Anolis sagrei: one gene and its partners. The main gene of each other region encodes a partner of the protein of the gene in region 3 in a complex. Links are inferred from orthologs where the notes say so. Each region holds a gene or a part of one and is shown on either strand. Other genes may lie near its edges. The genes, in order: TMEM216, TMEM17 and TCTN1.

Region 1 (3,750 bases), on a different chromosome or scaffold from region 3:
TGGAGAATTCTTCTAGGTAGTGCCATTTAGCCAGGTTGTCTTTTGATCTGCCCACTCCACTTCTGAGTCTCTGTTCAGGGGCTTCCAAGTATGGCTGAAAATTAGGAAGAAATTCCATCTGAACATGAGGAAGAACTTCCTGACTGTGAGAGCCATTCAGCAGTGGAACTCTCTGCCCCAAAGTGTGGCGGAGGCTCCTTCTTTGGAAGCTTTTAAACAGAGGCTAGATAGCCATCTGTTGGGAGTGCTTTGATTTTGATTTTCCTGCTTCTTGGCAGGGGGTTGGACTGGATGGCCCATGAGGTCTCTTCCAACTCTAGGATTCTATGACATGGAAAGAGTCACCTCGAAGACTGAGTAAAAACAGTCAGGCGTCCTCTGGGCAACATTTCTTGTAAACGGCTAATCTTTCCAAACCCCAAAGCATTGCTTATAAACATGGCTAGGTTATAGCTGTTCAAGGTGAAACCAATACTCACTGCAGAGATTTTGCAAGGGGAAGGAGAAATTGAATCTGGACCATGTGTGCAGCTGCACAGTCAAATTAATGCAGATTGACACCACTTTAACTACCACTGCAAAATCCTATAGGATCCTGAGGCCCCAGCATTCTTTTGGCAAAAAAGGACACATCCCTTGTAAAACTTACTTACTTACTTACTTAGGCGATCCCTCGTTGGACGAGTAAGATGGTCTTCCATTATGGATTTCCTTGTGGGTCCGTAGGTGGCTGTGGAGCCCTATTCTTGCTCTGCATCTTCTTCCGCAGTGAGGGCATTGGTTTCCAGGTGGAAGGCGTTCCCGGTCGGGGTTGGCTTGACGCGCCTTCCTCCTGGCACGTTTCTCTCTTTCACCCTCCACTCGTGCCTCCTCGAATTCTGCAGCACTGCTGGTCACAGCTGTCCTCCAGCTGGAGCGCTCAAGGGCCAGGGCTTCCCAGTTCTCGGTGTCTATGCCAGAGTTTTTAAGGTTGGCTTTCAGCCCATCTTTAAATCTCTTTTCCTGTCCACCAACATTCCGTTTTCCATTCTTGAGTTCGGAGTAGAGCAACTGCTTTGGGAGACGGTGGTCAGGCATCCGGACAACGTGGCCGGCCCAGCGGAGTTGATGTTGGAGGACCATCGCTTCAATGCTGGTGGTCTTTGCTTCTTCCAGCACACTGACGTTTGTCCGCTTGTCTTCCCAGGAGATTTGCAGGATTTTCCGGAGGCAGCGCTGATGGAATCGTTCCAGGAGTTGCATATGACGTCTGTAGACTGTCCACGTCTCACAGGCATATAGCAGGGTTGGGAGGACAATGGCTTTATAGACAAGCACCTTGGTCTCCCTACGGATGTCCCGGTCCTCGAACACTCTTTGCTTCATTCTGGAAAATGCTGCACTTGCAGAGCTCAGGCGGTGTTGTATTTCGGCGTCGATGTTGACTTTGGTGGAGAGGTGGCTGCCAAGGTAGCGGAAATGGTCCACATTTTCTAATGTTACACCATTAAGCTGTATTACTGGCATTGGAGAGGGATTGGCTTGTGACTGCTGGAACAGCACCTTGGTTTTCTCAATGTTCAGTGACAGGCCGAGCTTCTCGTATGCTTCTGCGAAGGTGTTTAGAGTGGCTTGTAGATCTTCTTCTGAATGCGCACAGACGACATTGTCATCAGCATACTGGAGTTCTATAACAGATGTTGTTGTAACCTTGGTTTTGGCTTTCAGTCTGCTGAGGTTGAATAGCTTGCCATCTGTCCGATAGATTATTTCCACTCCGGTGGGAAGCTTCCCATCAACAAGGTGAAGTATCATAGCGATGAAGATGGAGAATAGAGTTGGGGCGACAACTCCCATAATTCCATATTGAGCTATAGCAGTTAAAGTGGTGTCAAACTGCATTAATTCCGCAGTGGAGATGCACCCCATGGCTGGCTAAGAGTTATAGGCAAGTGCCCAGAATGGAAGGACCCTCTCACATCACACAGTCAGTATCCGACTTCAGCTGCCATGGCAACATGCACTGGAATCCTATAACTCGAAGCTTAGGATGAGGCATTGTTAGCCAGAGAGATCACCTGGTACCCTTGAACAAATTATGTATTTCAATAGATTTTGATGGTTTTAGCTATTTCAATAGTTTATTTATTTATTTATTGCATTTCTATACCGCTTTTCTCACTCCTAGGGGGACTCAAAGAGGTGTACAGCATAATAATTGGCAAAAATTCACATAAGAATAAAAACAATACATGACAAATCTTAAAGCAATAACATATAACTGTAAATTAAAATCATTAAAATCGTCAGACATGATCGTTTGCCAGTTTGTGTAGCTTTCAATTACCAATCTTGTAAGCAGTGCAATATTTGATCTAATTTTAGTGTGAGAGTCTCCATACTGCTGAGTCTGGATCTTCCATACATTAGGAGTCCTGACTGCAGAGAGGTTTCCCTTTCTCCTCCCCCAGTTTCCCTTCCCTTCTCTTCCTTTCTGCCTCCCCCACTTCCTTCCAGGGACACAGCTCGTCCTCACATGATACTGAGTGCATCTACACTGTAGAATTAATGCAGTTTGACCTCTCCAGTCCCCGCCACCACTTACTGCGAGGCGCCATCTTCCATCTCCATGGACACCAACTACGCAGAAAGCCTGCGGCCGGCTGCTACTTCTCCTCGCCCGGATGTCAATCTGTGCCCCACAGAGAAGGGCCTGACTTAGGGATGAAGACGTCACTTCCGCTATGGGATCGGAGCCGCTCTAGCCCTGGACTTCTCAGGCTCCAAACACAGGCCGGTCAGTGTGGCGCGAGTCTGCATTCGATGCCGGAAACAACGACGTGGACTCTAAAGAGGAAGCCGCTTCGTCCTCACAAGAGCCCGACAGGGGTCGCCTCCGTTTCCATAGTTACCCCTTGGCCCCGCCCCTCGCCCCCACCAATCAGGGGGCGGAAAAAGGCCTCCCATAGCAACTAAGCAGAACTAAGAACCAAGAAATAAGCAGCCCTTCAGATGCATCTATATCAGGCTTAGGCAAACTTGGGCCTTCCAGGTGTTTTGGACTTTTGAAGTCCAAAACACCTGGAAGGCCCAAGTTTGCCCAGACTTGATCTACACTGTAGACTTTATTAATTGACCCCACTTTAACTGCCATAGCTCAATGCTATGAAATCTTGGGCTTTGTAGTTTGAGGAAGCAGTGGCACTCTGGCAGAGAAGGCTCAAGACCTTGTAAAACTACAGCTCCCACTATTCCTTTGCATTAAGCCATGGCAGTTAAAGTGGGATCAAACTATATTCATTCTATAGTGTGGATAAACCCCAAGATCCTGCTTGAAAACATCTTTACCGAAGGACTTTCCGCCCTTCTATTCCTTCATTTCTCCCTTTTCAGTATACAAAGCAACTTTTCACTGCTACAGCTTGTCTTGACTTCTATACCCCAGGATTTGAGTACGCACAGAATTTTGTGGTTGCTTTGTTTCAACAGCATGTTTCTTTCCCCTATTCCTGTCTTATCCCTGGACAATGGAAGTGCAGGCTGAGATTCTCTTATCAGAAATGTTTGGGACAAAGAATATTTGGGATTTTTATGGATTTCGAAATATCTACTTGCATATACACATGATGGCATGTCTTGGAGAGGGAGCCATGCTTAAACGCCAAGTTTATTTTTGTTTCTTATACTATTAAAAGAATTTTATATACAATATTTGTATTAATTTTGTGCATGTACAATGAACATAAGAGAGCAGCCTCCCATGTGAACAAT
Region 2 (3,750 bases), on a different chromosome or scaffold from region 3:
TATATATGGCTGGAGTTACATATAAGACATTTACTTGTTCTGATTTACATACAAATTCAACTTAAGAACAAACCTACAGAACCATCTTGTTCGTAACTTGGGGACTGCCTGTACTTCTGAAATGCCAAATATTAAAAAAAATGACACAGCTGAATAAAATCCCACATTATCTGCTTTGAACTGGGATATATGGCAGTGTGGACTAGGGGCTCTTCCAGACAGGCCCTTTATCCCAGGCTCTGATCCCAGGTTTTCTGTTTATTCCAGATTATCTGGCAGTGGGGACCCATATAATCAAGTTTAAAGCAGAAAACCTGGGATCAGATCCTGGGCTATAGGGCCTGTCTGGAAGGGCCCTCAGATAACCCAGTTCAAAGCAGGTATTGTGGAATTTTCTGCCTTAATATTCTGGATTATATGGCTGTGTGGAAGGGCCCTGGGACTCTGTTTTGATTTTGCCAAGCTGCAATTTTACGACTTCATAGTATTACTGCCGGATATCCCTAAGACCTAAACTGAGGACCATGTACAGACTTAGCTGAATAACTAACGAAATTAAAAGGTTCTATATTCGTCTTCTAAGGGCCCTATATCCCAGAATATCAAGGCAGAATAACCCACAATATCTGCTTTGAACTGGGATATCTGAGTCCACACTGCTATATATTCCAGTTCAAAACAGATAGTGTGGGATATTACTCAGTTGTGTGGAAAGGGCCTAAGGGTTCATTTCTCACTACTAAAAGCTTGTCTGGGGCTTCAATTCTTGGGCTAGGAAGAGTAAGCAAAGTCTGCCACTGAAACCCAAGGTTTGTCTCACTTTAACAGCCTATGTTCGGGGAGACTTTTCCCGCCACGCGGCGCCCTCTCTGGCTGAGAGACACTGTGTGTGGGACTGGCCCAGAGGACCAGGTTTCTGAAGGAGCGACTCTGCGCCTGCGCCTAGGCTCCCGGCCACGCCCCCTGTTGCTACGGCAACGAACGACGGCGGCAGCGGCTGCCTGTCTTTAAGGCCTCATGTCCCTACCGGAGCCGGTCAGGCGTCGGCTCAACTCTTTCAGCCGCACGGTCTTTACTGACAACAGCCGCACGGGGCCCGAGAGCGGAGGCGACGACGTTCCGGGTGAGGGGAGGGGCGGTGTTTCGCCAGCTCCAAAGATGGCGACGAAGGTGGCAAGGGGTTGGAAAGGAGCTTGCCTCAAGGCAGAAAGGGTGGACGGTGGCGCGAGGCCTTGTGCGTCGTCGTTTGACCTGAGAGCGCGAGGAGCGGCACGCGCCAGTAAAAAAAAAGGAGGGAGGGGGAGGAGGAGAAGCCCCTCCCTTCTTGGTCCCCACTCTCCCTGCTTACTGGTCGGACAGTGCAGCCCACGCCGGGTCTGCGGCCTAACACCCCAACTTCTTGTTCCTGGCTCTTCGGAAACAGCACACATTTTTCCTAAAATTGTTCTACAATACCATACAATCCATTTCAAAGCAGATAATCTGGGGGATCTTCCAGACAGGCCCTATATTCCTGGATCTGCTTCCAGATTTTCTCTTTATCCCAGATTATCTGGCAGTGCAGACTCATATAATCCAGTTTAAAGCAGAAAACGCGGAATCAGATGCTGGGATATAGAGCCTGTCTAGAAGGGCCCTCGATTATATGGCAGGGTATAAGGGGCCTTAGGAGCCCCCAGTGGCACAGTGGGTTAAAGCGCTGGCTGAGCTGCTGAGCTTGTTGACCGAAAGGTCACAGGTTTGAATCCGGGGAGCGGTGTGACCTTCCGCTGTCAGCCCCAGCTTCTGCCAACCTAGCAGTTTGAAAACATGCAAATGTGAGTAGTTCAATAGGTACCTCTCTGGCAGGAAGGTAACAACGCTCCATACAGTCATGCTGGCCACATGACCTTGGAGGTGTCTATGGACAACGGCGGCTCTTCAGCTTAGAAATGGAGATGAGCACCACACCCCAGAGTCAGACACGACTGGATTTAATGTCAGGGGAAAACCTCTACACACAACACTGCTGGAATCGTGTCAGAAGTAAATTAAAAATTTGTTGTTGTTCATTCGTTCAGTCGTCTCCAACTCTTCGTGACCTCATGGACCAGCCCACGCCAGAGCTCCCTGTCGGCCGTCACCACCCCCAGCTCCTTCAAGGTCAGTCCAGTCACTTCAAGGATGCCATCCATCCATCTTGCCCTTGGTCGGCCCCTCTTCCTTTTGCCTTCCACTTTCCCCAGCATGATTGTCTTCTCTAGGCTTTGCTGTCTCCTCATGATGTGGCCAAAGTAATTAAGAATTAATTACTACAATTATATATATATATATATATATAAATGTAATGTTCGTTTGTGGGATTAACAGAACTCAAAAATCACTGGACGAATTGACACCAAATTTGGACACAAGACACCTAACAACCCAATGTATGTCCATTAAAAAAAAAATGATTTTCTCATTTGGGAGTTGTAGTTGCTGGGATTTAGCGTTCACCTACAATCAAAGTGCATTCTGAACCCCACCAATGATGGAATTGAACCAAACTTGGCACAGAGTTCTCCTATGACCAACTGAAAATACTGGAAGGGTTTGGTGGGCAGTGTCCTTTGGTTTTGGAGTTGTAATTCACCTACACCCAGAAAGCACTGTGGACTCAAACAATGATGGATCAGGACCAAACTTGGCACAAATACTCAGTATGCCCAAATGTGAACACTGGTGGAGTTTGGAGAAAATAACCTTGACACTTGGGAATTGTAGTTGCTGGGAGTTATAGTTTACCTACAATCAAAGAGCATTCTGAACTCCAGCAACGACGGAATTGAACCAGTCTTGGCACACAGAACTCCCATGACCAACAGAAAATACTGGAAGGATTTGGTGGGCAGTGCCCTTTGGTTTTGGGGTTGTAGTTCACCTATATCCAGAGATCACTGTGGACTCAAACAATGATGAGTCTGGACCAAACTCTACACAAATACTCAATATGCCCAAATGTGAACACTGGTAGAGTTTGGGGAAAATAGAATCTTGACATTTGGGAGTTGTAGTTGCTGGGATTTATAGTTCACCTACAATCACAGAGCATTCTGAATCCCACCAACGATAGAATTGGGCCAAACCTCCCACACAGAACCCCCATATGGGCCACAGCAATGCGTGGCAGGGGACAGCTAGTAATGTATAAAAAACAAAGTTCAAAACTTGGCATTATATTAAATTTCCTTTGACCAGAGGCTGGCCATTTGGAGTGCCTCTGGTGTCTTTTTAATTTTTTTTTATTGATTTATCACAATTATTACATACTGTTGCATTTTATACATCAACCTCTTTAACATGTTGTTTTGTTGTTTTGCTTTGACATTTCCTCCCCTTTTCTCTTTTTTTTTTCCCCCCTATTTTCACCTCAGTGCTCCCCTCCACCCGTCTCAAGCCACATTTTTTACATTTCATCTGTCCAAAATTTCATTTCTTCTTGTGACGGTAATTTTCCTTCCTTATTTTTTAATCCATTTACCACAAATTTTCCCCATATAGCATCAAAATCACTTTGTTTCCATATACCTTTTTAAACCTTTAATATACATGTCAGTTTGTCATTTAATGCTATTTTCCATGCTTCCTTGTACCACTCCTCTATTCGTATATTCATTTCTTTTTTCCAATTCCTTGCTATGAGCAGTCTTGCTATAGTTAGTAAGTTTGTTATCGCTTCTTTATCCTCCTTTTTCAGTTGCTTATTGGTATATAATGATAATAAGGCTA
Region 3 (3,750 bases):
TTCAACTCTATTCTGTAAGTCTATTTAATTTGTATTATATAGTAATATATAATAGTAACATAGTATATAGTAATGTATATAAAATATATAAAATATTGTATTTATATCTTACATAGAAAGAAGGAAAGGAAGAAGGAAGGAAGGAAGGAAGGAAGGAAGGAAGGAAGGAAGGAAAAAGGGAGGGAGGGAAAGAGGGAAAGAAGGAAAGGAAGGAAAGGAAAGGAAAGAAGGAGGGACAGGAAGGAAGGAAAAAGGAAGGAAGGAAGGAAGGAAGGAGGCAAAGGAAGGAGGGGTGAAGAAAGGAGGGAGGGAAGGAAATGAAGGGGAAGGAAATGAAGGGGAAGGAAATGAAGAAAGGGAAAGGAGGAGGAAAGGAAGGGAGGGTGGAAGGAAAGGAAAGGAAGAAGGAAGGAGGGACAGGATGGAAGGGAAGGAGGGAAAGAAGGAAAGGAAGGAGGGACAGGAAGGGAAGGAAGGGGGAGAAGGAAAGGAAGGGAAGGAAGAAAAGGGGGGAGGAAAGAAGGGAAGGGAGTGAGGGAGAGAAGGAGTGTGGCAGAGGGAGCTACTTCCCAGTCTGGATGTTAATAGAAGAGAGAGAGAGAGAGAGAGTTAAATGTATGCTCCTGTTGCCGAGACAGATCTACAGAAATGAGAGAGAAGGAGAGGGAGGAAAGAAAGAAGGAGTTGGAGGAGGAAGAAGGGAGCAGGACGCAGAGGAATGGGAGAATTCAAAAATAAAATTTGTTTCTGCCTCTTTCTTTCCTCCTTCCTGCAGTGAAGGGAGGGAGGCAAGGAAGAGTTGGTGAAGAAGGCAACGGTCTCTCTCCCCTCCTCCCTCCCTCCCTCCTGCCTGGTGCTTCCACCCCGGCATCTTGGAGGAAGAGGAGTCCCTTTTGTTATCTTGAACATCCATGCTTCCAGGAACTGTGGAACTCCTTGCTGCGTCTCAGATCAGCTTGAAGGCGGGGGCCTGCTAGTTCATCCTCATTACCTTTTAGTTTTCCAAAGCCTTTAGAGTAGGCATGGGCAAACTTTGGCCCTCCAGGTGTTTTCGACTCCAACTCCCACAATTCCTAACAGCCTACCGGAATTGTGGGAGTTGGAGTCAAAAACATCTGGAGGGCCGAAGTTTGCCCATGCCTGCTTTAGAGTGCGAGAGCCTCACCAAACGCAATCCCCCAGAATCGCATTGGTTTTAGTTGCTGCATCACACAGTTGCCTATGGCTTACACGCAGCCCACTACGGCTCAAAGATGCAATTTCCGATGTCGCCACTGGAGGGTGGCCAAGGGCAATGCATTGGAGCCGCGGCCTTCTGGGCAAAACAGCGCCTCTGACGAAGGGGCAGAAGATCAAGCGGGTGCAATTCTCGGTGAGTCCACTGGGGACGGCAAAGGCATTCGTTGCCATAGCGACGGCTTTGGCGGAAAACTCGGCCCCGGCTCCCGTGCTGCCTCGCGCTGTATCCATAGCGACCGTTGCCGAGGCCTCGCGGCGCCATGGAGCGCGGAGCCTCGCCGCTCTACTTGTGGCTGCTCTTGCTGCTTCCGTGGCCGGTGGGCCTGTTCACCACTCCGAGAGCGTCCTCCGCGGAGCCCGAGAGCATCTCCACCTCGGGAGCCACCCCCGCCGAGGAGGGCAGGCCCAGCCCCGGGCCTAGATCTACTCCTGCACCCGGGCCTAGGGCTACTTCTGAGTCCATGCCTCCTGGAAGTCCCTCGCGGTTGGGGCCCTGGCCCGAGCCCGCCCTTCACGGTGAGCCCTGCCCTTCTCCTGAAGAGACATAGTACAAGAAAATGGGTGTTGGGTGGTGTGTGGCGGGGGGTAAGGCGAGTGGAAACAGGTCAGCCATTGGAGTCTGACCATCCGGAAGTGTCCATCCCCTCAAGCATGGGAACCTTTGGGACTCCAACTCCCAGGAGCCCCAGGCGCCAGGCATTCTGGGAGTTGGAGTCTCAAACACCTGGAGGGACCAGTCGCTGTCCTTAAGGGGCCCTAGAGGCGACATGGAAAGAGCCTCCTCGAAGATTGAGTAAATATTTATTTATTTATTTACTCTATTTATACCCCGCTTTTCTCTACCCCAAGGGAGACTCAAGGCGGCTTACATATGACAATTATTCCATGCCTTAAACACATACAAACATTAAGCTTAATTAAAATTAATGCATATTAAATATTTAAAATTACATTAAGTATTAAAATCACACCATCCAAAAATCGTAGTCTAAGGCCGTTTCCTAGTCATTGCACATATTCCAATTATATTGTTGCACTGCGCTATTATCCGAAAGCCTGATACCAAGGCCATGTTTTTACTCTCCTTCTGAAGGCTAGGAGGGAAGGGGCTGATCTAATGTAATTGGAAAGGGAATTCCATAGATGAGGGGCCAGCACTGAGAAGGCCCTGTCACTTGTCTCCACCAGTTGTGGAATCGAGAGCAGGGCCTCCCCAGACGATCTTAATCTCAGAGGTGGTTTACAGGGGAAGATACGTTCAGACAGGTACACTGGGCCAGAAATGTTTAGGGCAGTGGTTCTCAATCTGTGGGGCCCCACGTGTTTTGGCCTACAACTCCCAGAAATCCCAGCCAGTTTACCAGCTGTTAGGATTTCTGGGAGTTGAAGGCCAAAACAACTGGGGACCTACAGGTTGAGAACCACTGGTTTAGGGCTTTATAGGCTAAAGCCAACACTTTGAATTGTGCTCGGTAGCAGACTGGCAGCCAGTGGAGCTGACATAACAGGGATTGTGTACTCCCTGTATGCTGCTCCTGTGAGCAACCTGGCTGCCACCCATTGAACACTTGAAGCTTCTGAACAGTCTTCAAAGGCAACCCCACGTAGAGCGTGTAGTGGTAATCTATAAAAAAAGATAGAAATACAGTCAGGTGTCCCCTGGGCAATGTTTCTTGTAAACAGCTAATATTTCCAACCCAAAATCATTTCTTTACAACATTTTTGTGCAATGCTTTTGACACGAAATAAGGACCAGGCCTGGTAAGGATTGCGAGAGGAGATCCCCAGCCTGCCCCAGGTGCTCTATGACTGTATCATTGGGTTGGTCACCAATTACTACCGCCCTTTGGTGCCTATCAAAGTTTTCAGGAGAGGAGAAACAAAATGCTTCATTTGGGGGCTTATACATAGAGGTAATTGTGATGTTACTAAGCTCTACTGTTATAAGCTCTATATTGTTTTCTTTAGTGTTATGGGCACTGCTGACTTGGAGGCCTGGTTTTACAAAAACAGCACTTCCATACTGCACATGTGGTCTTCACGCCACTTAAGATCATTCCTGGAACTTTTAGTCGTTTCTGTTGTTTATCCTAGTATGCTTCCTGGACTTGCTTCATAGGAAATCTGCTACCAAACAGTTTTTGCTGAGTTCCAGGGTCAGAGAAGCAGATGTCGAAAACAGAAGAATGGCCTGCCTCAGTTGAGTGTGCTTGCTCCATCCAAGTTTAACATTTACAGGAATGACCAGCCATTGCAAGAAGGGACAGAGAGTTTCATCTATGTCGACGATCATGCCATCACCGCCCAAGCAGGGAGCTTTGAAATGGTTGAACAGAAGCTCTCCAAAGCTTTAGGTCCTCTTACTGCCTATTACAGAGAAAACTAGCTGATTCCTAATCCATCTAAAATGCAGACATGTGCTTTTCATCTTGAAACAGACAAGCAGCTCAAGCTCTGGGGATTACCTGGGAAGGAATCCCACTGGAGCATTGCAGCACACCAAAATACTTG

The links.
Region 1: TCTN1 (region 3) and TMEM216 share a complex: the UniProt entries of both Homo sapiens proteins name them as parts of the tectonic-like complex. The link is inferred for Anolis sagrei from reciprocal best matches to the Homo sapiens genes TCTN1 and TMEM216.
Region 2: TCTN1 (region 3) and TMEM17 share a complex: the UniProt entries of both Homo sapiens proteins name them as parts of the tectonic-like complex. The link is inferred for Anolis sagrei from reciprocal best matches to the Homo sapiens genes TCTN1 and TMEM17.

Annotation. Positions count from the first base shown.
Region 1 is NC_090021.1:236,146,620-236,150,369, reverse strand, and holds the start of TMEM216 (transmembrane protein 216), read right to left. Parts: upstream 2,859-3,750; 5' UTR 2,598-2,858; coding exon 2,585-2,597; intron 1-2,584. UniProt on the Homo sapiens protein: Part of the tectonic-like complex which is required for tissue-specific ciliogenesis and may regulate ciliary membrane composition.
Region 2 is NC_090021.1:152,383,618-152,387,367, reverse strand, and holds the start of TMEM17 (transmembrane protein 17), read left to right. Parts: upstream 1-930; 5' UTR 931-1,017; coding exon 1,018-1,123; intron 1,124-3,750. UniProt on the Homo sapiens protein: Transmembrane component of the tectonic-like complex, a complex localized at the transition zone of primary cilia and acting as a barrier that prevents diffusion of transmembrane proteins between the cilia and plasma membranes.
Region 3 is NC_090034.1:31,327,233-31,330,982, reverse strand, and holds the start of TCTN1 (tectonic-1), read left to right. Parts: upstream 1-1,212; 5' UTR 1,213-1,221; coding exon 1,222-1,755; intron 1,756-3,750. UniProt on the Homo sapiens protein: Component of the tectonic-like complex, a complex localized at the transition zone of primary cilia and acting as a barrier that prevents diffusion of transmembrane proteins between the cilia and plasma membranes.